Oreochromis niloticus: one gene and its partner. The protein of the gene in region 1 purifies or fractionates together with the protein of each later gene. This does not show direct contact. Links are inferred from orthologs where the notes say so. Each region holds a gene or a part of one and is shown on either strand. Other genes may lie near its edges. The genes, in order: fen1 and rad1.

Region 1 (12,109 bases):
TGGGTCATTATCTTGCTGTAGGATGAACCCCTGACCAACTAGGCGCTTACCAGAGAGTGTTGCATGGTCCTGCAGAATGCTGTGGTAGCCATTTTGGTTCAGGATGCCTCTCACTCTGTACAATTCACCGACCCTGGATCCAGCCAAACAACCCCAGACCATCACACTTCCTCCTCCATGTTTGACACTTGATGCGACACACTGTGGAATCATCCTTTCTCCTATTCGACAGCGTACAAAGATCCTGCGAGATGAACCGAAGATTTCACATTTTGATTCATCAGTCCAGTCCAGTGGTGGTGTTTCATGGCCCAGAAAAGCCTCTTTGTCTTATTAGCAGTGGCTTTCTTGCTGCAACTCGTCCTGTCAAACCTGCAGCTCGAAGTCTTCTCTTCGCAGTTGAAGCTGAGACTTGCTTACTATGACCACTATTAAGCTGTTGTCCAGTGAGCCATCTATCACACAAGCTGTTAAGTCTCAGAAACTTGTCCTCTGATTCAAATGTAGCTTTGGGTCTGAGTTTGCCCCAGTTTCTGAGTGCCTATTGATGCTAAGGAAACTGTGCTCACTGACACCTTGACTTTCTTTGCAATTTCTCTGTAGGAAAGATCGACATTTTTAGGTGTTCCATTGTTATTTGCCTTTTTCTTGACATTTTTTTTTAGCAATTTTTACAATACCGTTCAACTGATGTTCACGAGGGAATGGTACTACCACAGTGTGTTCCAACACTGCTTTTATGCAGACGGGGGGGTCAGTAATCCATAAAAGTTGGAACACCTGTAGGAATTAATAGCACCAGCTTTCAAGGCTTGATCAACCTCCACTGCTTAAAATTGTTAACCCATTTTGTGTTCCCTGAAAAGGCCCTTTTTATAACTCTGAAATGTACATTATTTTTCAGTTTTGGCTAACCTTACATAACCTTTTCTTTTTCACCTCTGGCAGTCCACTTACCTTTGTACCATTTCAAGTTATTAATTGGACCTGAAACGCAATAAATAACTAGAAACATTGGGGTGTTCTAAAACTTTTGGCCAGTAGTGTTTTAATGCACTGGCAGTGTGTTTGGGATCACTGTCATGCTGAAAAATTAATTCTGCCAATTCTAACAAGATCCCTGACACCACTGGCTAAAATAGACCAAACCATAACAGGGCCTCCACCATGTTTTACAGATGTTTACAGATATGGACACTTACGGCTGGATTATGCTGAATACTGTAACCAAAAATTGGAAATTTTGTGTCATCACTCCATAAGACCTATTGCCATCTGTAATTTGGCAGACCTGATCCTTTTCTCCTGGAGTCCATATCTGATGAGGCGATGGATGAACCATGCTGAAATATGCCAGGTTTTCGCCTAATAGCTCTTTGTCTCATGGCCATAGAATAGCATTTTTTCACCTTGTTGTAAAGTTTAAGATTAGTTCTTTGCCATGTTGTCTGGTGGTCGGATATAAGGAGTAGACTGAAAGTGAGAGGACAAAAAAAAACAAAAAACAAGAGCAGCTAATGTCCAAAGCAAAACTTTGCAAGACATTAGGGAAGTCTGGAGAACTATTGGCTTGCTCATTGGTAGCAAAATATAAAGATAAGAGGGAAAGCTTTAGACTTTTGCACAGTACTGTAAAAGGGCAACAAATGAGGATCTCTACAAAAAAATCATTTTTTTATTTCCAACACTTGAAATAAAACTGTCCAACACTCATTAAAATACAGCTAGCTCAGGTTTCGTTAGGTGATACAACAGAAAGTTACAAAAAAGTAGCAGTAGCAGTTTCCTTTAGTCTTAACTCCAAACATCACTCATCACAATAACGTCTCAGATAAATTTATGGATACATTCAGTCTATTTGGCCTTCTTAAATTTGCCTGGTGTGGCTCCAGTTTTCTGCTTTTTCTTTGCTGATCCTTTTATCTCAGGTTCCTGACAAAGACAAAGAAAACAGTATAGAAAATGTCAGGACTAGGAAAAGAAATCAGTCTTTACACCAGCAGTTTCCTGTTTTTATAACAAGATCTAAATTAAATATGTCAGTCAAACACTTCTGCCTGCTTTTTATAGTTACAAGAGAACTAGAAAGAATTTTAGACAGAAAAAAAAAACCACACACACACACACACACACACACACAGTACCACAGTTTTCTGACATGTACCTTTCGCTTGGACGACAGAGATCCAGTGACAGTGAAGAAAGAGTCCAGACGTCCCTGCGTGCTGCCCTGTCTGCTCTTTACAATCTTCTTACAGCCGTTACGGATTCTGTCCTCACTGCACACACATACACAAATAAAATAATAAAAGCTTCACTTTATCCTATGAGTATGTTTGTTCACATATTTAACAGACAGAAAAAATGTGTAAACCTGCAAGACGAACACACTATAGATCAAATATCTTTTTATTTTTTAAAAGAGTGGAGGCATCAGGCAGGAGGAAAAGAGGAGAAGCAGAGAGGAGGTTCATAGATGTAGTGAAGGAGGACATGCAGAGGGTTTGTGTGACAGGAGGACACTAGGGATAGGATTAGATGGAGGCAGATGATCAACCATCGAACTCAAAAGATGCCAGAAACACTTCATGTACATAGACAACAGTGCCACCTATTGGTCAAACATTAAACAAAAAAGTGTGTGTAGTCAAAGTCAAAGCAACAACAGATCATCTCCGTCAAACTAAGTAAATAGGTAAAGCAGAAGATAAGAATGAGTCAATATTTAGTTCACCTGAACTGTTTCTCTTCACACATGAATTGGATCAGTCCTTCCTCATCCGGCTCGTTCCACTTCAGCTCCACTGTAGAACAATCCACCACTTCTGGCTTCAAAAACAAACCCCTGGCTTCTTTGTACAGCCAGTCTTCTGGAGCAGGGTGCTTCTGCATAAAGACAAGCATTGCGCACACACACAGAATCAGAACCGGCACCTCGCTCAGCTGACCTGCACTACAGATTACAGCAACCTTCAACTTACATTGGAATCAATGTTCTCTAGAATCTCTTCGATGCTACCGTGCTGTTTGATGAGGTCGATTGCTCTCTTTGGGCCGATCCCCTTGATAGTGCCGCAGTAGTCACAGCCCAACAGAATACACAGGTCAATGAACTGGGATGGAGTACAGAAAGGAGTAAATAGCAAGAAAGACTGAGATCAATGTTGTGTTTAAAGCTCCACAGCACAAACATCTGATAGCCAGGAGAGTACCACCACATTTCTTTGAACAAACAGCACAGCATGCTGACATGCACCAGGTGATAGCTGTGTCATCATGAGAGAAGTACGGGAAGTGCTTCAGATTTAAAGAGAAACTTATTTATCTAAAATTTGTTCAAGACAGGAAAAGAACACTTTACCTGTTCATTGGTCAGGCCGATGTCCTGCAGGATGCGACTGAAGTGGAACTCTTGAATAGGAAGTTTCCTGAAACAATAATAAACAGCTTGTAGTTGACTATTTATGTTGCATGGCGACTATCAAACTACCAAATCCTAAAACCTCATAACTTGGTTCAAATTTATGAATTGGAAGTGTGAACTTATTCATTTGAACCATCTCATATACACATATATTTATATGGCAAACATAAATCTGATGTAGAATTAAGGCAACAACTTTAGGTCATTTCCACTCTGCTAATATCTCTGTCAAAGGTGATGCCGGTTCATACTTTGCTTCACTGGCCGTGAGATGTCTGAGAAGGATGTTTGTCCCAAAGGTCAGCCCGTCCATATCCTCTGTTGCCGTGGCAAACACCTTCCCTGCTTTAACCAGAGCAGCACAGCTGGCCTCAGCTTCACATGGAGCCTTTAAGGAAATGAAAAAAATAAATTAAATTACATCTAACAGAATGGTACACACAATCTGTCTTAATGCAACTACCTCAAACTGCACTGCAGAATCCCAATTCATGTATATTTTTAAGCTTTAGGCATAATTTAATTACATTTCTGTCTTTCTGTGTGAATGACCCCAGCTGGACTGTATAACTGTAACTTGGTAAGGGTAAGAGGATAAGAAGCCTGTAACATTGTAGGAACACTAAAACACAAATCATTCATGGGAGGGATGTCTCCAAACTGTGTAATAACTGTGCAAATATTCTTGATGCCACAAGAATGTGTAGAAATAGAAATCTCACCTCAATGTAAGGCACTCCCATCAGGGTCAGGAGCTTCTTACACTCATCATTATGCTGCTTCGTGACTTTAACCAGACGCTTAGTGAACTTGTCAATGTTCTCTTGCTCCCCTGGTTTGAGAGAGAAAAACATCCAATTAGACTTTCATGCCCAAAGTAAAACATGTTCACAGACTTTCCTATAATACTTGTGATATAGTCTGAGTCCAAGTGTGGTTTAAAAACTAGCAACTTCCAACAACCCCCCCCCCCCCCCCAGAAAAGTCTTTACCAATTTCTTGGGCCTGGGCAAGCATCTTCTCAGCTTCGGCTCTCCTCTCCCCTCTTTTCTCAAGCTGGAAGATGAAGACACAAGCAGAATAAGAGAGAGCTGTCAGTACAAATGTTTCCATTTGCAGATGGGTGAGGGCCAGAGGAAATCCTTACTCACCTCTGCTGACTTGAGCTGTGGGGGCTTGCCGTCAAACACATACACAGGTTTGATTCCATGTTCCAACATGCGAATGGTGCGGTAGAACATTCCCATTAAGTGGCTTGAAGAAAGGAGTAAAGGCAAAAATCATTCCTGTGTGTTCAGACCTAAGTTACAAATCACTGAGGTTAAACAGAGGAACTACTGCATCTATGAAGGATCTACAATTAGGTCTTCTTATTCAATTTTAAATGTTTATTGTTGCAGCAGTACCTTGTTGTCTCTCCATCTTCATTCTGCAGAACGTTACCATCTTGTCGCACAGCGATCAGAAACTGGTAGATGCACATAGAGGCATCAATAGCAATTTTCCTGCCTACAGAAGGTGAAAAGAGGTGCTCATTCAACAATGACATAAAGAGTTAGCATTCCATCATGCATACTACATACTGTATGTTGCAACAAATTGAGGGTAGACTGAAACTCATGCATCACTGATGTATAAGGAGTGTAATCTGGAACAGTTACCAAAGTAGTTCTTTATGTCTTGCTCTTTAATGGCACCAGGGGCCTGGTCAGCAATTAGCTTGGCAAGTCCGTGTATTCCCATTGTGTCAGAAAATCTGAGAAAAAAAGAGAGAGAGAGTGAAGCTCTGTGGTTAACATGCTGTGTCATTTCCATCCCCACTGCATTTCACAAAGGCCCCTATCACTGGTACAGGTCGGGTCTGCAGAAGCTTGAGAAAACAAAGAGGTCACAGTACAAGTTGTTTACAAATATGAAGCTCTTTTTTTTTTTTAACGGAGGCTTGATGTCAATTAAAAGACGAGCTCCGCCTCATTTGTTATCTCTCAGCAATGTGTGTGCCAGGTTTGTGAATTTACAATGATCTTTAAATCGACGAGTTCATGTAAGCAAACTGCCGAGCAGAAATGTATCCTGGCTTTGATCTACTAGTGTGTACCAGCTGACTTTAATGAAAATGCCACAGGATGCAGCAATCTACTATCAAAGTTAGCTTGCAGGTTATATATTGTTAACATTTACAACGGACTCACCAATTTAGTAAAACACCTCAGCTCGTGCAGCCGCTCCACGTCCTAGCGCGCGAGGAACTGACTGTTTCGCGGGAAATCAAATAGCAGGCATTTTCTATCGATCTACCGAGCGCCTCACTTCCAGGTACTCCGAAAAACCGTGCATCGATAGTGCAAGGTTGATTAATCAGCCCTGAGTTCCGACACGGAAGACCCGCAAAGGCACTGATTGGTTATTTACTGTTGAAGGAAATCCGGTTTATAGGAAAAAGGGGGAAAAAATAACACCGTCGAAAGCCGCGAACTCCCACCTTTTAGTTCATAATTTCCAGAGGCGTTAAAGACCGTAAATACTCCACGTTTATTTTACATTGCTTGTGAGTTAAATTTGTCACCGGCTGGGATTAACCGGTAAGATTTCAGGTGTATTCTTGTTTCTCCGCCCACTCCGGAAAACTCAGCCGAGTCGTCGTTATTTTTATTTTCTAAGGTGACGTGGAGTCGGAGCTCTTCTTCTTCGTCCACACTGGCCCATGTGTGAATAAAAGTACTCAGTGTACCCGGATATGAACGTAGTGATATTACGTTGACACAAGATATCAAGAATTTCCAAGATGCTCGGCTGTAAGGCTGAATCTTCACACTGAGCTCCACTGTAGCGGAGAAGAGAGCAGCCTGCTGGGGCCTGGAGTCCAAAGAAGCCGGCGGACAGACAGATTTTGTTGGATCTGGAGCATCGGGACGGACGAACGGTAGATCCGATTGTGCTGATTTCGTTGTTGTAGTCTTTTTTAGCGAGCATGTGCTTATTTGGAGTAAAACAGCGTTGATGTGGATGAGTCGCTTGTTTTACTTAAATTAAGGAGGCCCCCTTTGATTATAATCATGCTGCTGTCCACAGAAACAGGACACAGCTTGTAGTGTAGCGACCTTGCTCTTACTGCTTACTGCAGTTGTTGTATATACTATTACTTATCTCACTGTGTGAGGCATTTCTGCGTGTTTGCTGCTATTATTCATTCAACTGATTTAACTCTTTTGGCTTGAGTCTTTCTGAATACTTCGTGGGCTTCGTATGTAGTCTTGTAATCAGTAAAAAGTTCAGATGTGCATAGAGCTGTGATGCTATTCTTTAGTTCGTCACAAGGGACGATCAAAAAGTGATCTGGCTTATATCAAAGGCATTGCAACCTTACCATTCAGACCAAATTTGCATTGCTGTGAAATTCAACACTAATGCCACATCAGCAATAATTCTAGGTCGCCCTTCTAAAGTTCTCCTTCTATCACTTGCATAAAAAAATGTGAGGATTGTGGTTTTTCTGGAAATGTAGTTGATAGGGAACACGTTTGTGTGCTTTGTAGAGTATGCAAATGAAAGGGGAGCCGTGGCATTGTATCATCATGCGTCACCATTCCAACGCAAACTTAATACATGTTCATATGCAAGTTAAGCATACCATGAACACTAATGTTTGTCTAATATGCTTTGAAATTGAAAGCAACTCTGAAACTCTGCACCTGGATGAAAACTGTCCCTCTGAGCAATGTTACTTATTTTCTGCTCTTATAAACTCCAACAGACAAACTGACGGTGCTTATTTGATCCCAAACCCTCTTTTGGGCTGATGAAACTGATGAAATGCATTGCAATTCACTGTGGTTACACAGCATCTGTGTTTGAGCCAGTTTCATCATTTTCTGCTGTGTTTGTTAACACAGCGCAGGAGTGACGTTGCATAAAATTATGCAGTTATACCTCTCCGTGTTAAGATAATTACGTGTCACATTAGAAGTGCACAAAAGTGAGAGACAGGCTAGCTTAAAATAAACCTGAACTGATAAGCTGTCGTGTTTTCAACAGGGGCCATGCATCGTGGAACAGGACGCACGTCAGGTGGCTGTCAGAGGATGATGGTGCTGCACTCTGTCTTGATCCTGTTCTCGTTCTTAGGCTGGGCCCTTGGCTACAAGCAGGGAGACAATGTGACTCTTTATGTCAACAAAGTGGGCCCTTATCATAACCCCCAGGAGACATATCACTATTACACATTGCCTGTTTGCAGGCCGGAGAAGGTCAGTATTAGTTCTGTGTCACTGCGTGGTGTTGGTCTGTTGTAACAAAACAGAAGAACTGGAGACATGTAGATGAGAGTGTAATGATAATATCTAAATCTCAGGACTTACGTCTCCAGTTCCTGTGAAAATATTTTTAAGAAAAGACTTTGCTATGTTATATTTTATCCCATATCTGTTTGTTTCTACTTGAGGGTGTAATATTGAGGTGAAGTGTTACTCCCAACCACAAAATCTGAAAATGCGTATTAATTCATGTTGAGTAAAGAAGTGTCTTTTTTATAGAAAGATCATGGCATTTTCTTGTAAAAATGTGATCAAAATGACATCCTGAAACATGAGAGTAATAAAAATGTTTTAATTTTGTGTAACTGATTTGCTGTTAAGAATTCACACATTTCACCAAAACACAAGCTTTTTCTTTAAGTTGATAGTTTATTTCATGGCTCGCAGGTTTAAGAGAAAAGCCATTATTGGAAGTTTGATTGTGTTGGTAGCAGTGGAGCCTGCATTTTCAAAGGCAGCAGTAACATTGTATTAACATTGTATCGATTTTTATTTAGCTAACAGTTTTGAAATAACTGCTCTCAGAATTATGATCACCTAATTTGGCACTTTTTAAAAAAAAACATCCTGTATATTAAATGCTAATACTTCTTTCATCAGGTGCATCATAAGTCTCTGAGCCTGGGAGAAGTGCTGGATGGTGACAGAATGGCAGAGTCTTTATATTACATCCGCTTCAGAGAGAACGTGGAGAAAAAAGCTCTCTGCCAGCTCACTCTTTCAGAAAAACAGGTATTTACAGGAGTAAATTTGTAATAGTTAACATGCCTAACATCAGAAAACTGGTTGGTAATAAACTGCAAACATTCAAAGCTTTGACCAGCACCACTGTGAGGATTTTCAGCCACGTAAAAATGAAACAAAAATGCTATTCTACTCCTCAACTTAAAAGCCAAATATCTACCCAACCAACTAATATCCAAAATATCAAATACAGGTCCTTCTCAAAAAATTTGCATATTGTGATAAAGTTCATTATTTTCTGTAATGTACTGATAAACATTAGACTTTCATATATTTTAGATTCATTACACACAACTGAAGTAGTCCAAGCCTTCCATTGTTTTAATATTGATGATTCTGGCATACAGCTCATGAAAACCCAAAATTCCTATCTCAAAAAATTAGCATATCATGAAAAGGTTCTCTAAACGAGCTATTAACCTAATCATCTGAATCAACGAATTAACTCTAAACACCTGCAAAAGATTCCTGAGGCTTGTAAAAACTCCCAGCCTGGTTCATTACTCAAAACCGGAATCATGGGTAAGACTGCCGACCTGACTGCTGTCCAGAACGCCATCATTGACACCCTCAAACAAGAGGGTAAGACACAGAAAGAAATTTCTGAACGAATAGGCTGTTCCCAGAGTGCTGTATCAAGGCACCTCAGTGGGAAGTCTGTGGGAAGGAAAAAGTGTGGCAGAAAACGCTGCACAACGAGAAGAGGTGACCGGACCCTGAGGAAGATTGTGGAGAAGGACCGATTCCAGACCTTGGGGGACCTGCGGAAGCAGTGAACTGAGTCTGGAGTAGAAACATCCAGAGCCACCGTGCACAGGCGTGTGCAGGATATGGGCTACAGGTGCCGCATTCCCCAGGTCAAGCCACTTTTGAACCAGAAACAGCGGCAGAAGCGCCTGACCTGGGCTACAGAGAAGCAGCACTGGACTGTTGCTCAGTGGTCCAAAGTACTTTTTTCGGATGAAAGCAACTTTTGCATGTCATTCGGAAATCAAGGTGCCAGAGTCTGGAGGAAGACTGGGGAGAGGGAAATGCCAAAATGCCTGAAGTCCAGAGTCAAGTACCCACAGTCAGTAATGGTCTGGGGTGCCATGTCAGCTGCTGGTGTTGGTCCACTGTGTTTTATCAAGGGCAGGGTCAATGCAGCTAGCTATCAGGAGATTTTGGAGCACTTCATGCTTCCATCTGCTGAAAAGCTTTATGGAGATGAAGATTTCATTTTTCAGCACGACCTGGCACCTGCTCACAGTGCCAAAACCACTGGTAAATGGTTTACTGACCATGGTATTACTGTGCTCAATTGCCCTGCCAACTCTCCTGACCTGAACCCCATAGAGAATCTGTGGGATATTGTGAAGAGAAAGTTGAGAGACCCAAGACCCAACACTCTGGATGAGCTTAAGGCCGCTATCGAAGCATCCTGGGCCTCCATAACAAATCAGCAGTACCACAGGCTGATTGCCTCCATGCCGCGCCGCATTGAAGCAGTCATTTCTGCAAAAGGATTCCGGACCAAGTATTGCGTCCATAACTGAACATAATTATTTGAAGGTTGACTTTTTTTGTATTAAAAACACTTTTCTTTTATTGGTCGGATGACATATGCTAATTTTTTGAGATAAGAATTTTGGGTTTTCATGAGCTGTATGCCAAAATAATCAATATTAAAACAATGAAAGGCTTGAACTACTTCAGTTGTGTGTAATGAATCTAAAATATATGGAAGTCTAATGTTTATCAGTACATTACAGAAAATAATGAACTTTATCACGATATGCTAATTTTTTGAGACGGACCTGTATATGGGTAAAGCTACTCACCAGCCACTTTGATGGGTGCACCTGTTCAACTACTTGTTAAAGCAAACATCTAATCAGCCAATCAAATGTCAGCAATTCATTGCATTTTGGTATATAGGCATGGTCAGGGTGACCTACTACAGTTCAAACCGAGAATCAGAATGCAGAAGAAAGGTGATTTATGTGACCTTGAATGTGTTGGTTGGTGCCAGGTGAGCTCCATCGAGTGCTTCAGAATTTGCTGATCTACTGGGATTTTCTCTCGAGTTTACCGTGAGATTGTCTGAAAAAGAAAATATCCAGTGAGCAGCAGGACTGGGTGAAAATGGCCTGTCGATATTCTGGCCAGAGGAGAATGGTCAGACTGCTTTGAGCTGATAGGAAGGCAACAAAAATTCAGATGGCTAATCAATACAACCAAGGTATGCAAAAGAGCATCTCTGAACACATAACATGACAGTAGATTGGATGGGCTACAGTACCTGTCAGAACAGCAGAGGCTACAGTTCACACAGGCTCACCAAAGATGGACAGTAGAAGACTGGAGAAATGTTTCCCGATCTGATGAGTCAGAACTGGCTGACCACCACCGTGTACCATCTTCTGCTTCAAGGAGGATAACAAACCATGTCACAAAGCTTAAATAAACTTAACCTGGTTTCTTGAACATGGCATTGACTGTGCTCAAAATCTCTGAGGAATGTTTCCTGGACCTTGTTTAATGGAAATCAAGGCAATTCTCAAAGTGGCCAGAAATTATGTGTAAACAGATTTCCTTTTTAGATCTGCTGGTCTGTAGCAGTGAAGTTATTTTTTCTTTTTCTGGATAAGATGATAAAACTAAAACTGTTGGGTTTTTTGCATTTCATGGAAGTCTTTCATCCTTTGTTACCTTGGATACATGTATCCATATCAGGATCTAATCCCTCTTGATATTTGCTGTTACACCTGTACTTTGTTGTATGCTGAACCATGGAGTCTGTAAAATAGCAGTTTCACATAATAAACATCTGTACAACTTTAGCACAGCTGTTTCATTATGTGAGGCCACAACCTTTTTCTAATAAAAAAAGAGGGTCAATACATTTTAATGAACATTTTAACAAATGTAAATGTGCCAGATTATAGCCCTAGGCTAATTTCCATCTGTAGACCCTCTGGCAGGTTGATGTTACACACAAGTTAATAGCAACATACAGAGACACTATTTCTAGAACATGTATACAGACAAGGACAAAAAACAGTGATCCCATCATATTAGAACAAACAATGACAACAACTACTGCTTAAAATATGTCATCTGTTAACTGTTGGTGCTTGTTTTTTCCTTGGTAGGTGGACGAGCTTCGTGAGGCCATTGAGGAGCTGTACTACTTTGAATTTGTCCTGGACGATATTCCAATTTGGGGTTTTGTAGGATACATAGAGGAGAGTGGTTTCCTGCCTCACAGCCACAAGGTAGAAATTATGGAAATGTTTTATTGATATGCTAAGCTCTTGATAAACCAAATGAAGCATCATTCCTCTTACTTCTAAACTCCTCCTGCCTCTTTTCTGTTCTATCAGGTGGGTTTGTGGACGCATCTGGATTTCAACATCGAGTACAACGGCGACTCTGTGATCTTTGCCAATGTCTCAGTAAAAGACGTTAAGCCTGTTCCCTTAGAGGAGGGGGCAGGTGCAGCAGTGGGGGGTGTCGGAGTAGGCGGAGGCAGCCTGACGGTGACCCATACCTACAGCGTGCACTGGTTTGAATCATCTCTGCCCTATTCCCGGAGAGCTGAGCGTCTCAGAGACTACTCGTTCTTCCCCAAAACACTGGAGATCCA
Region 2 (12,312 bases), on another chromosome or scaffold:
TATTATAAACAGTCCTTGGGCAAATATGCATCGTGTTTTGTTGCCCCAGTTTATGAACTCCTTTCTTCTTCTTCTTTTTCTGATAAACAAGGGTTTTTTTTGGATGTAATGTTTATTGAGTTGGAGTAAAAGCTCTTTTCTATGTCACAGAAATAAAATACCAACTTGATCTCTGTATCCTGTGATGTATACTCCATAAAAGGCTTTTGGAATAGTTTCAGCATAGACTTGTAGGAAGTGTGTCCACAGCTTAAGAGAAATCACACCTATTCAAAGTAGGTAGAATAGGTGTTGTTTTAGATCACTGTCTAGTTGTTTTAGATCAGTGAGCTGGGTCTAATGTGTCCTGTTTTACAGGCTGCAACCATCTGGAGGCATATGTCAAAAGACGAGCTCTGATATGCAAATATAAAGAGAACTGCATTTAACAAGTAGACTCAAATTCAGGAGTAACATTCACAAATTGTGAGACTTATGACTGAAAACAGCTGAGTCTCCATAGGAATCAATACAGTACTTGAACACACATCGAACATGTATACTCCTGCAGCACACAGACCTACGATTATGACGTGTGGCGTAATCATAGAGAGCATAAGAACACCAGCAAATCACAAGCACAACATCTGTTTCTCTCAAATCTGGCAAATGATGAATCAGTTCATTTTCTGTTTTCACCACTGTGCCCATTACAAGTCCAGCATTTTCTCCATACCTGCCTCCTCTGGCAAACTGGACTCCGGTGTGTAGTTAAGGTACTTATTACAAGTCAGATTTGAATCCGGTGTTCTCAGTTCTCTTCTACCTCCTCATCGGGACAGCAGTAATATTCTACGAAGCAGATCTGTCCGTCGTCGTTCCTGACCAGGTACTGCAGAGAGAGGAAGCCCCGGTTGTCTGTCCTGACGGAGACTTTACAGGACAAAGCCAAGGCTTTGGTGGACGGCTTCAGGAGGGACATCTTGTATCTGTTTGCAGTCAGAATACAAGCAAAACATTACACGGGGATACACTGAAACTATGCCTAAACTATTTCTCTTGCAGAGATTTTTAACATGATACGATAGAAAGGCCAAGAAAACACTTAACACTGGATCCAGGAGTGCTGACTCATTAGTGTCGGCATATCCAGTTGCAGTTGTAAATGTCATTATTTTTCTGTGCTTTTTATTCAGTTACAAGTCAAATGTATCCAGTCAACAAGCTCTATTACATAAGTCATAACAAGTCTGCTTTTAAGGAGATGTAAAGGGGACGAAGGGTCACCGGGGAAATGATTAAAATCCTAAACACCTGCATGCAGGTGCTGCAACGTCCTGTGGCCAGTTAGACCTCTGGTTAGAAGCCATGCTGGCAATTACAGTTTGCACACAAGTATACAACACAAGGTCAAACCATGGGAGTCTACTTGAGTGAAGTATTTCCAATTCCAGGAATTTCTAGAGCACCTACAAGGTGAGTGTATACTTATCAGAGTTCACACTGGCACTCATTATTAGTGTGTGTACACAAGTGAGTGTCAATATTTTCAAAGCTTAGTTTGTTAATAATAAAAAATATTATCACTGCCCTTTGGTTATTATTAGTTTTCCAAAACATAAGCCATAAAATGCTCAGAATTACAATCAAATAAAACAAACTAGATTTGAAGAAAATAAAATACTAAACAGTTTAATATAAATATATTCCAGCATTTCTTATGTTTCATTAAAAATGACTTCCACCATTGCTGGAGGTCATTTACAGTCTAGTTTGTTGGCATTACCCAGCTGATGCTGGAGAATCTGATATACGTCAACTTTGTTGTCCAAGGGTATATTTGACACAGTGACTGAACAGATATACTAATTTTATAATTCTCAAAGGAAAGATGTGTATATCTTGTTATAACTTTTTAATTTTTGGACTTGGATAAAAACATTCATGTCAACATCTTCAAATTTTTCATTATTATCAGAGTTATCTGCCCGGCAGCCATCCGTGAACAGGCATGTAAAAGGGTCAAAACTGAAAATGAGAGTAATGTCAGTCACAGACAGTTGCGAGATAAAGATCACTGGTAGACGCCAGGAGATAAAGAGCACTTTAGTCATTCACTACTTTGTATGACATTTGGTTTTAGTCGCTGTGTTGGTGCTTCCTGTCCTACCAGTCCACCTATGGGTAGTTTGTGTTCTCTACAGTCTAAATAATCTGTGCATGTGTTCGTGTGCTGACCTGTTCGTTTGTGTCTCGGTGCACTTAAACAGCTCCATCATGTCCGAGTCTTTGGAGTAATCATAATGAGCATTTCCAGCATTCCCAAATGTTGACAACCTTAGAAAATCAACAAATCAAATAATAATAATATAAATGAAAGGTAAAAAGAGCAGCACTTTCAAAAATAATGCAGAGGGGACAAAGTTACACTGCAAACTACCTCAGCACACTGATAATGAATGACAGGAAAAAGATCTATTTTGTTACAACAAATCCTTGAAGAAAGTCACTGTTCCTACCTTTAGCTTAGCTATACATTATATTTAGTGTTAGCTTCAATCCGATAAATACAATCCAGCATAAAACATGCCTCACCTTTACCGTTAAGAAGACTTAGTTTCCAAGAAGTGGATTATGTCTAATCCCAAATACTTTCCCCAGTGGATAACTTCAATGACTTTTCTTTTAAGACCTTTACACACCAGACTCATAAAAGAATTCATTTAAATATTTTGTGCATTGAAAATATTTTTCGGACTTTTTTTCAATTTTCAGAACGCGAATAAAGAGATCTGCCAATCAGACCACTGCATTTGGCAACAAAAGTGTGCTTGTAGTTTAAAACACACACCGGTGCTGAAAACCGGTGATGCAGCAAAAGTAAATAATACAATTTTAATACAGACACACAATCAGTTCTACGAAATTACTTCTCTGTCCCCTCAGATGTGATCCTAACTCTGCCCACAAGAATTCAAACTACCCCAATGACATCCGGAAAGATGTATGTAAGTAAGCGGTCGTGATACAGCTTCAACTTCTGAATGAAACCACGAAATTCTCCTTGTTGCTCTGAAACCAGAGTCTCTGTTTTTATCATTTCAGTGTTTACATATGTTATGTATTAAATTATGAATTTCGTCAGGTTTTTTTCCCAATGCTCTTGGTGTGTAAAGGCCTTTACAGTCATTTTAAACACAGTTATTTTTTTTAACTTTAGCAACGTAATCATAAACCAGCACAATACTGTAGAAAAAGTACAGTAAGGACAGCACACCTGAAGTATGGTTGGCTGGGGGACATGGTAATCTGTAGCACTTCACTTGTCATGTCCAGTTCAGAGAAGGCTTCCTTCAAACTCTCTGACTGCAAGATCACCTACAAAAGAGCCAGGGATACATCAGTTGTTACCGAGTTGTGTTTCCTGTTTTCTAACACCTGCAGATACTGTTATCCCAATTGGATTTGTAAAGTAAGGAAACCAGAGAAACTGTGATTTCTGAACTGATTCATTTGTATTAGTTTATCGTTTCCCATCTGATTTTTTTGTATATTCAATATTCGAGTTTTAATAACAGAAAAAGTGAAATTAACCTTGTTCGTGACATTAGTGCTGCAGAACTCAAAGTCAATCGGTTCTTCTGGTTCTTGTGTGTTAATCTTGCACACGGTCACTACACCACCTTCCTCCAGGAACAACGTCAGAGGGTACCCATACCCCCTGTAGCACATCCGCAAGGCTGTTGATACACCTGCAACATCACAAAAAACAGATATAAAGCATGCCGAGTCACATCTCAGGTGGGGTTTTTTTTTTATTAGTTTATTTTTATAAATTTTACCTGGTGTTGTGGTTCCACCAAATATATTGAGGCAATCGAGGAGAACAGTGAGGTTGATCTGAAAAGCCACCAGATCTTCTCTTATGGTGAACTCTTGGAAGATCTCAGCCTGGGGGACATGAGTACAATTTCACTAAGGTATCAGTATTATAGGATTAAACACAACGTAAACATACCTGCTCATTTAAGTATGTTCACTAACAAAATACAAGAGAAGCACACCTGGATGAAGGCATTGGCCTGCAGACATTTCGAGTCCTCCACTGTGACCTTAAGGCCATTGGTTGTAGCTGTGAAGATGGCGTGATCTTTGAAGGTGATTGCTTTCAGGATGTTGGAGAGATTGCGAGCATTGTCCAAACTCGCCACTAAAACGTACTGTTCGTCATCACCCTGCGACTGAGTGGCGAGAGGCATTGTAGCGCTGAAAAAAAGGCGCACAGATACCCGCTGTGAGCTCCCTGTAAAGGTAAACACATCAAATTAGCCGCTCCAATCATACATCACATGCGCATGAAGTTGAAACTTTGTTGAATGGCGTATCATTTATATTCTAAATCGGACAGAATGTTAATACGCCAAAGTGATATGTGTCGACTCTACAACACACACACACCGAACTGTCACTTTGCTTTTACTGAAGTACTAAGCTTGTTTTTTTTTTTCTGTAGCTCGCTTGTAGTTTAAAGTGACGTAAAACAGAAATTAACGGTAATATAATTTACATCTGTACTATCTAGATCCTCCTATACATTAATGTATTTAAAATATTCCCCCCAAAAACTGTAACTACCTTCGTGTCTCTTATAAAGCTGTTATGCAGCAGTTCTTGTGATTGTTTTTGAAGAAAGGCGCCCGGTGGTGAACAACTTCCGCCTGTCGCTCTTCTTCTACGGAAGTTGGAGTTAAAGTACGTCTTACGTCAGCAACATTCCAGATATTTCGCCATAAAACATACTCTGCCCATCGGTAGTGCGTGACAACATCATTTTGTGATTGGCAGAGGTGAGAGTCTTTATTCTGTCTTCCTCGTGTAACAGTTCAAATCTTTTTATTTTTATGTTTGAACTTTGGTGACAGTTTTTCATAATCGTTATAGCTACCGGGGTGTGATAGGACGCTAGCTTTAGCTCACTGTTTGATTTGAGCTTAGAGAGCATGAAACCAATAGTGTGTCAACTGTCAAGTTAAAAATGATCGAAAAACAATTTACAGCACACAACAACGGAAATCATGAACAGAGTAATTTGTGTAGTCGTGTGAAAGAAAGCTTCCTTCTATCGTTACCTAAGGTAGCTCAGGTTAGCCTTGTAAACGTCAGTATGGCTGACAGGTCGCTCTGTGTGGAGGACCCAAGCTGCCAGAATAAATAAAACAAACAAAATAATAAACGTCTCAGTACAGTCATTTCTAACTTATATACACCAGAAGAGTTTAAAATAAACGTAGGCAGTAATTGTTGTAAATATGCCATAAATTTCTTTTTTAAATTTGTGTAACCTATTTATAAAGAAAGATTCCTTTACTTTTCAAATTGTGTACACATTTCTGTCATTTCAACCAATATATTTTTTTGCTTTATTTTCGTGTTTTAAAGTGTATGTTGGATTGTTGTTTGATTTGGGGGGGTTTTAGTCGTTTTTGTTTGTTTGTTTAATTGTTTGTTTGTTTTTGTTTTTTAACTATTGTATACATGTTAAGAAATTAATGAAATGTTATTAAATCACTCTACAGGAACCTTGTAGCAATATCTCAACAACCAACCATAAACTTACTATGTATTTTTTTTACAACTCACAATGTTTTTTTCTCTACTGCAGGTTTTTCCATTTTTACTGCCCTGTCTAAACCACAGCTATGGTGTGCATTCCCTGTATTGTGATTCCTGTCCTCTTGTGGGTCTACAAGAGGTTCCTGGAGCCTTATCTCTATCCTTTTATTTCACCCATTATTAATATATTCTGGAGCAAAAAGGCAGTGCAGGAGACCAGTACTAATGACCAAAAAGTTAGTGAAAAGAGTAATGGGACTTGCAAGGTAAGTAAATGGATAATTTTTGTGATGTTTTCATTAAGAAACTTAAAAATAATTATGGAAATATTTCCCAGCTCTGGTATATAGAGCGAATATATCTAAAAATGATAGTAAAACTAATAGGAGCCACTCAAAGGGTCTCTGTGTTGTGTCATTTTTAACGTAAAAATTTCATAGTTATTTGATTGCAAGTTTTAAAAAAATTTTCACTCATGTTTTTCAGCCTGAAAGCAACGGCGAGGCCACTGCTAATGGATCTACTATAGCAACGGATAAGAAGACAGACTGACACCTCAAAATATATTCAATGCTTCATAAACCATGTAAATATTTCATTCTTCTAGAGAAACTATAAATTAACTTATAAAGCATCTTGGAATTAATTGGATTTTATAACCTTCCAGTTGTTATTTGGAGCTTGTTTTTATTTTTGTCATCCATCTTGTTGATATATTTTCTGTTAATCATGAATTGATACATCTGTTTATTGTATTGAATGATATAGATTTTGTAAGTTAAACTTTAAGCATAAATAATGAATAAAATAAACAAGACCTCTTAAGTGCTTCCGTTGCTTTTTCTTCATTTTGAATAATGTGTTCTCTTCATATTTGAGTTGTTAAGAAAGCTGTTTTGTTCATATAACTTTGAAATAATTAAAATAAATATGAAAGAATGTTAGCAACTTGACACGAAAGTAAGTATAAACTAATAATTTAGACCTGACATTTGTGTTTACTGCCGGTAGTAACAGTGTTCAGCAACAGTGTTCCATGTTATTATACAGACATATTTATGTCATATTTATGACATAATATGTCTATGTCATATTTCTCCAGACATAGAAGCAACTGGAAAACATTTGTCTTCACACATTGCTCAAAAAGGAAAAATATAGTTAATAATATTTAATATCTTTAAAGTATTGGAATATACTCTACACTGATCAGCCACATCATTTAAGCCATTGACAAGTGAAGTGAATGCTATTATTGACTTGTTACTGTGTCTGCATATGTTCTGTTGTGTAACTTGGCTTCCCCTTATTCAAACACGTTCACCATGATGCTGACCGGGCTGTCAATTTTCCGAGATGCCTCAGGACACCCCATAATTTGAAATGTATATGCTTAAAATCCCCTAGCAATAGCCTAAAATAAAAGTTTTTTTAAACATATAAACAGCATGTATTGCACCAATTTTTTTTTCATCTTATCTTATTAATATATATTTTGCTGAAAGTGATTTCGTTTGCGAACAGCCGAAACAATGCTATAGTATGGGCATACACTAGTTATTAAAAAATGTAAAATAGAGAAGTTAAAAAAAATAGAGGGCAGCAGTTCTGATATTTAGCTTCCAACTGGACGAACACACGAAGAAGACGTAGTAACCGCCCATATGTCGTCATTACGCACAGGGTGGCTACGTGGAAAACATGGAGGAAAGGAGTATGTAGAGTAAACTTAACTGTCTGAATTACAAAACAATTTCAGACCTTTTCCTTTGTCATTCGCACTTAATAAATCAACTGGACTAAACTTCAGGTCACTTTAAAAAACAGTAGTCGCCCCTGAACGGTCCTGGGAGTCAGCAGAGCCGCGGACAGCTGAGAGAAGCGTTTATGACAGGTAAGCTGAACGGTCAGCTGGCTGCTCTCTGTATATGCGTTATTAACCACTGACTAAACCAAAGCACTCCTCAATGAGAAATTTATTAGCGCCTATTTCATTCTTATGTGGGACTTTGAGTTTATATTGTTTACTATGAAAACTGCTAAGCGGCAGGCTATTTCCTGCACTTGAAATCAGTATGGTCAAGCTAACGTCGTGCAAGTAGATTTTAAAACAATTCTTTAAACAGTGTCATTTAAAGTAAATATAATATAATGAATATAATGAATATGAAAACGGAATTTTAGCTCTTGCTGGAGAAAGATAAATTGTCCTTTATGGTTTAGCACTGCTATGCAAATATTGTAAATGCTATACTCCACTTCACTTATGCTGACTACACCTGTGTGTCTAAGGTGTGTCATTACAAAAAAACAAAAGTCATGTCCTGGTTCAGTGTGTGTCGTCCTGCTGTGATGCTGTGAACTTTGGCTTTCAAGGATGAGTTTGTGTTTGAGTTGGTGAGATCTGTTTTACAGTTTTTGTAATGCACGAACATGAAGAACCAGGAGTGTATGTAAACTGGCTCTTACTCTTGTGCTTAAGCTCTGAGAGCACTTTATACAGCATGTGTCATCACAACTTTACACACGGACACATATTCATACAAGCACATTTTATATGTCTAAGTGCTTTTAATCAAACATTTACACTCCAGTGAATGCAACTCTGGGTTCAGTGTCTTCCCCATGCAGCCTGCAGTAGCCAGGGATCGAACCTGTCCAATTGAACCACAGTCATCCCTGGCACCCCTGGTGCCCTTGTTTCTTAAAGCCCAAAGCGACAAGGATGGCCTCTGTCTATTCCTATTTAGATCTGAGTGTAGGAGATGTATAAATGTAAACAGAAGCTCATTCATTCTCACATTAACCTTAATGAATTTGCTAATTCTGTAGTTAATTTGAAGCTCAGTTGTTTATTGTCTGTGCCTCCAAAGATTAAAGCATTTTCTTTGTCCCAGGTTTGGCATATGCCTGGTGAAAAAGCAGTGAAGAGCAGCGAGTCTGGCTGAGCACAGTCAGCAAAGATGGGAGCCAACACCAGTCAGGTCAGTGACCTGTCCGATAATCCCAGCCTCAAGGCCCTGGTGGGCACAGAGTCCATATCGGAGAATGACCCTTTCTGGAACCAGCTCATCTCCTTCACCTTCATCAGTCCCACCAGCAGGTAAAAAGGAACACTGTTTTTATTGTGTGTGCCTTAGACACAGGCACACACACCTGAAATTCAATACGCCTGTCAGCCATCACATTAAAACTGCAAACAGTCATTGCAGTGTCCTACTTTGTCTCCAAGCATTTATGTTAGTTTAAAAAGACACTCACATTAACATTGTTGCAAACCAATCACACCCATCCATGGCAACCACAATCCCCGATGACATCCTACCCTACTAGCACATTAGTCCCATCAGACATATCTAGGATGTTCCATAGCAAGCCCAATAAACAATTGCCCCACCTCGCAACACAAAGGGGTGGGGGGAGGTGTCCACATAACTTTTACTTGGCATCACTCTACTAATTTCAACTACTTAATTAGTAATTTATTAAGTCAAATAATTGAGGCTATGACTTCTAAACACCACTTTACTGTACTTTTACGATAAATAACTTTTATACACAATGTGACACTTTAAATCACTCAGATGAAACCTTCACATATCAAAACCGGCAAAACAAGCAGTAAGTCAGGAAGGCAAACAGAGTGGAGGAAACATTCATATTGACATAAGTGAATTTTCCTGGGTTGCAGACCTGAGATGCACTGATGTTTTTAATAATGGTTTGTTCCCTCCACCACAAGGGAACAAAGCCTTCTAGTTAGAAAGTCCTTTTAAGATTTACACCCAGGATTTAAGATTAAACTGTAAGGTTTAATCTTAAATCCTGAGCAACCTGAGCACCTGAGCAACGATCTAACAGGGCTGCTGATCTGCTTGGCTGTGATCAGACCAGTTAACCGTTAACGTTTAGTTCCTTTGTAAACAGCACTGAAAACGAAAGGCACCTTGTTTGCGCTTTCAGGTGGACCATGACTGATTGACTGATGTTACATGTTAATCTACTGATGTTGTGATGTTTTTCATTCATAAAATAAATATAGCTACAGTATCTACCAAGTAACAGAAACAGAAGACACATGTAACATTTTACATTCATACTTAGTGTTTGTCTAAAATAAGACTGAGAAATAGTGTCCTCTGTATTAAGGCAAAAAGTTGAGGCCTGTCCAAGTATACAGCAATTTGCTGCTGTCAGTGGGTCGGTCATGAGTAATTATCACTTCAAGTCGTCCATTTGAACATTGAGATTTCTGGTTGACAAACTGGTGTTAGTTTCTTCCTGTGTGTATTTGCCCTTACACTCTAATTGCTGCTCAAAAAGATAAACACAAATAGCTAAAATATCAGGTTGCTGCTATATTGAACCAAACTACTGAATGGTAATCTATAATAACTAGTGCTCTTGGAGTGCTGTGTCGGCTACAGAAGGACACACAGAGATTTCTCAACAAATTCTGTTGTTTGACATTTTAAGAAACCTCATGTTCACCCTTTAATGATGAAAGTCATGTGACTTGAACCCATTGAGCACTTGCAGGTTCAGAAAGTGGAACATTGTTGCTTTTTCTAATGGTTTGGTTACATATGTAGCACTTTCATGCAGCGTTTTATGCGTGTCATTCTTCTCCAGTATTGCAACAGTGGGCTGGCTGTCCTTAATGGCTTTACTTCTGTTATTTGTTCAAAGGCTTATAGCCCTGTAGTTGTGTAAGGCACTTGGCCTTTAAACAAAAGGAATAAATCTTTAATTATTTGAGACGCAAACAGTCACATGGTGAGACGTGATCAAACAAGAGACTTTCAAATTGATAGTTTGTGGATACACATCTTTTTGCACAATTTCCTCTTGTTCTGAAAGTTGAATGATGGCCAGTGTCACTGTCTTTGTGCCATGATAAATAAGTAGTTGAAGCCAGCAGCTAGCTAAATTAACACCGAAACAGGAAATGGTGTAAAGTAAAATTAGGTGTAGGTCAGGATAAGTGTTTGCTGTTGTCATGGTTACATTTAAGGGTAATAGTATGGGGTATTTATTAATGTCAAAGATGGTCAAGTCTGGCACCACACTTAATCAGGTTCCCACCAACTCTAAAGCCGTTCATAGGAATGGTTGTCAATACAGCAGAAGAACAGACAGAGATTTCTTAAAGTATTAGGAAGATGAACCACTAATGGTTTATCTTACTAATAATCTGAGAAAACTCTGCCTCTTCTTCTGTTCTTCACCTGTGTTGACAACCGTTTATCTGAGTGAAAGGGAAGCGCCTGCACATTAAACTCAGCAGCTGCGCACGCAAAAAAGCCATCGTGCACACAAGAGTGTCTGCTTTGGACGTGCTGCTACAGTTTTACACTCTCGTGGGTAGCTCTCTGCTACTTACTGCACTTTCACTGTCTGAAGGCGGAGCCTAAAGGAGGACGGGGGTCCTAATGTGACTGCTCACTTTGATGGACACTTCAGTTTACTGGGTTAAACTAAGTTGCACTGTGGCAGCGACGGAACGATGTTTTAAACTTTATTTGTTTACAATTTGAAAAATAAAGTTGCCAAATTAATCATCAGCAGTCACTGTTTGCTGTGCAGCAGTGAAATTACAGACAACTGTCCCGGTAATGTTAAAGAAATATTTTAAACTAGAGAATTGTAAGGCAAGTTCTGAAGCCTCTGCACTGCTGTCCCATTAATCTGTTTTACAGTATTACAAGGCTTCTATGATTTAAAAAATAATATTCTGATGCAAAATAATTTTGCATCAGAATCTGGCAATTATAAGTTTGGCCAAAATACAAACATTTAAACCTGTCAACAAAAGGTTGTTCCGTCTGCAGCAAACAGATGTAACTGCGCATACGTGACTAGATGGGAGTGCTTCAAACATGCCCTAGAATTCTACAGTGTTTAAGTACGGAGGAGAAACGGCTCTTTAATATTGTTTTTGCTAGCCTCTTTATGGACTTTAAGATTTTAAACAAACAAATATATAAACTTATCAAACAAAACTTAGAATGATTTCTAGAACACTGTGACAACAGAAAAGCAGATGCGTGGTGTTTTGGCTGGAGACCAGAGTGATGAATCTACAACAGACATGTCTTGATGCATGCTCAATCATCCAGGTAAGGAAATCCCAAAAAGTTGATTCTGTTTATCTGGATGTAGCGTCTTTAGTGGGAGAAACGTTTGATCAGTGCTTTGATCAGTAGTTGTTGATCAATGGTCATGAGAATTTGCATACTAATGATCAAGGAACTCACCTCCCAGCCCATTGTGCATTCAGTGGTGCTAGTTTCAGGCATTATGCAAATGTACTGTTCATAAGGTTGGGGAAACCTGCAGTCAGCTGAGACTGAAGAAGTCACTTGGATGAGTGACGAAACGTTTCTCCCACAGAAAACGCTACATCCAGATGAAAAGAATCAACCTTTTGGGATACAACAGACATGACTAAAGTTAATCCTGTGGTTACCAGCACAGAGATAACCACAAAGCATAAAAAGTTAGACACCTTGCACTTAGCAGCTACAAGCATGCTGTGTAATATAGTTATAAGAGCCTTTAGATTTACACAGCATGATAGCAACAAACTGAACTGTTTGTTAGATGCTAGTTCAGACAAATGAACTACCTACCAACCAAACCCTGTCACATCTTACTCTCCTATCCACCCCACAGACTTTCTGTTCAAAGAACCTGAAATATTATCTGGATGAACTATTA

Evidence for each region.
Region 2: the proteins of fen1 (region 1) and rad1 purify together in Homo sapiens (affinity purification with western blotting; 3 studies listed by BioGRID). This does not show direct contact. The link is inferred for Oreochromis niloticus from reciprocal best matches to the Homo sapiens genes FEN1 and RAD1.

The regions. Positions count from the first base shown.
Region 1 is NC_031974.2:24,370,440-24,382,548, reverse strand, and holds fen1 (flap endonuclease 1), read right to left. Parts: upstream 5,754-12,109; 5' UTR 5,617-5,753; intron 5,181-5,616; 5' UTR 5,168-5,180; coding exon 5,086-5,167; intron 4,934-5,085; coding exon 4,831-4,933; intron 4,679-4,830; coding exon 4,576-4,678; intron 4,481-4,575; coding exon 4,417-4,480; intron 4,257-4,416; coding exon 4,147-4,256; intron 3,813-4,146; coding exon 3,676-3,812; intron 3,429-3,675; coding exon 3,362-3,428; intron 3,114-3,361; coding exon 2,982-3,113; intron 2,887-2,981; coding exon 2,735-2,886; intron 2,280-2,734; coding exon 2,165-2,279; intron 1,933-2,164; coding exon 1,855-1,932; 3' UTR 1,648-1,854; downstream 1-1,647. Other genes in the region: tm9sf1 (transmembrane 9 superfamily member 1), read left to right, coding at 7,465-7,671, 8,338-8,469, 11,616-11,738, 11,847-12,109. UniProt on the Homo sapiens protein: Structure-specific nuclease with 5'-flap endonuclease and 5'-3' exonuclease activities involved in DNA replication and repair.
Region 2 is NC_031972.2:18,190,369-18,202,680, forward strand, and holds rad1 (cell cycle checkpoint protein RAD1), read right to left. Parts: upstream 5,636-12,312; 5' UTR 5,109-5,635; intron 4,827-5,108; exon of another isoform or gene 4,615-4,826; intron 4,283-4,614; 5' UTR 4,239-4,282; coding exon 4,044-4,238; intron 3,931-4,043; coding exon 3,822-3,930; intron 3,732-3,821; coding exon 3,574-3,731; intron 3,358-3,573; coding exon 3,257-3,357; intron 2,317-3,256; coding exon 2,218-2,316; intron 969-2,217; coding exon 791-968; 3' UTR 34-790; downstream 1-33. Other genes in the region: c21h18orf32 (UPF0729 protein C18orf32 homolog), read left to right, coding at 5,679-5,858, 6,079-6,144; dym (dymeclin), read left to right, coding at 8,556-8,695. UniProt on the Homo sapiens protein: Component of the 9-1-1 cell-cycle checkpoint response complex that plays a major role in DNA repair. The 9-1-1 complex is recruited to DNA lesion upon damage by the RAD17-replication factor C (RFC) clamp loader complex.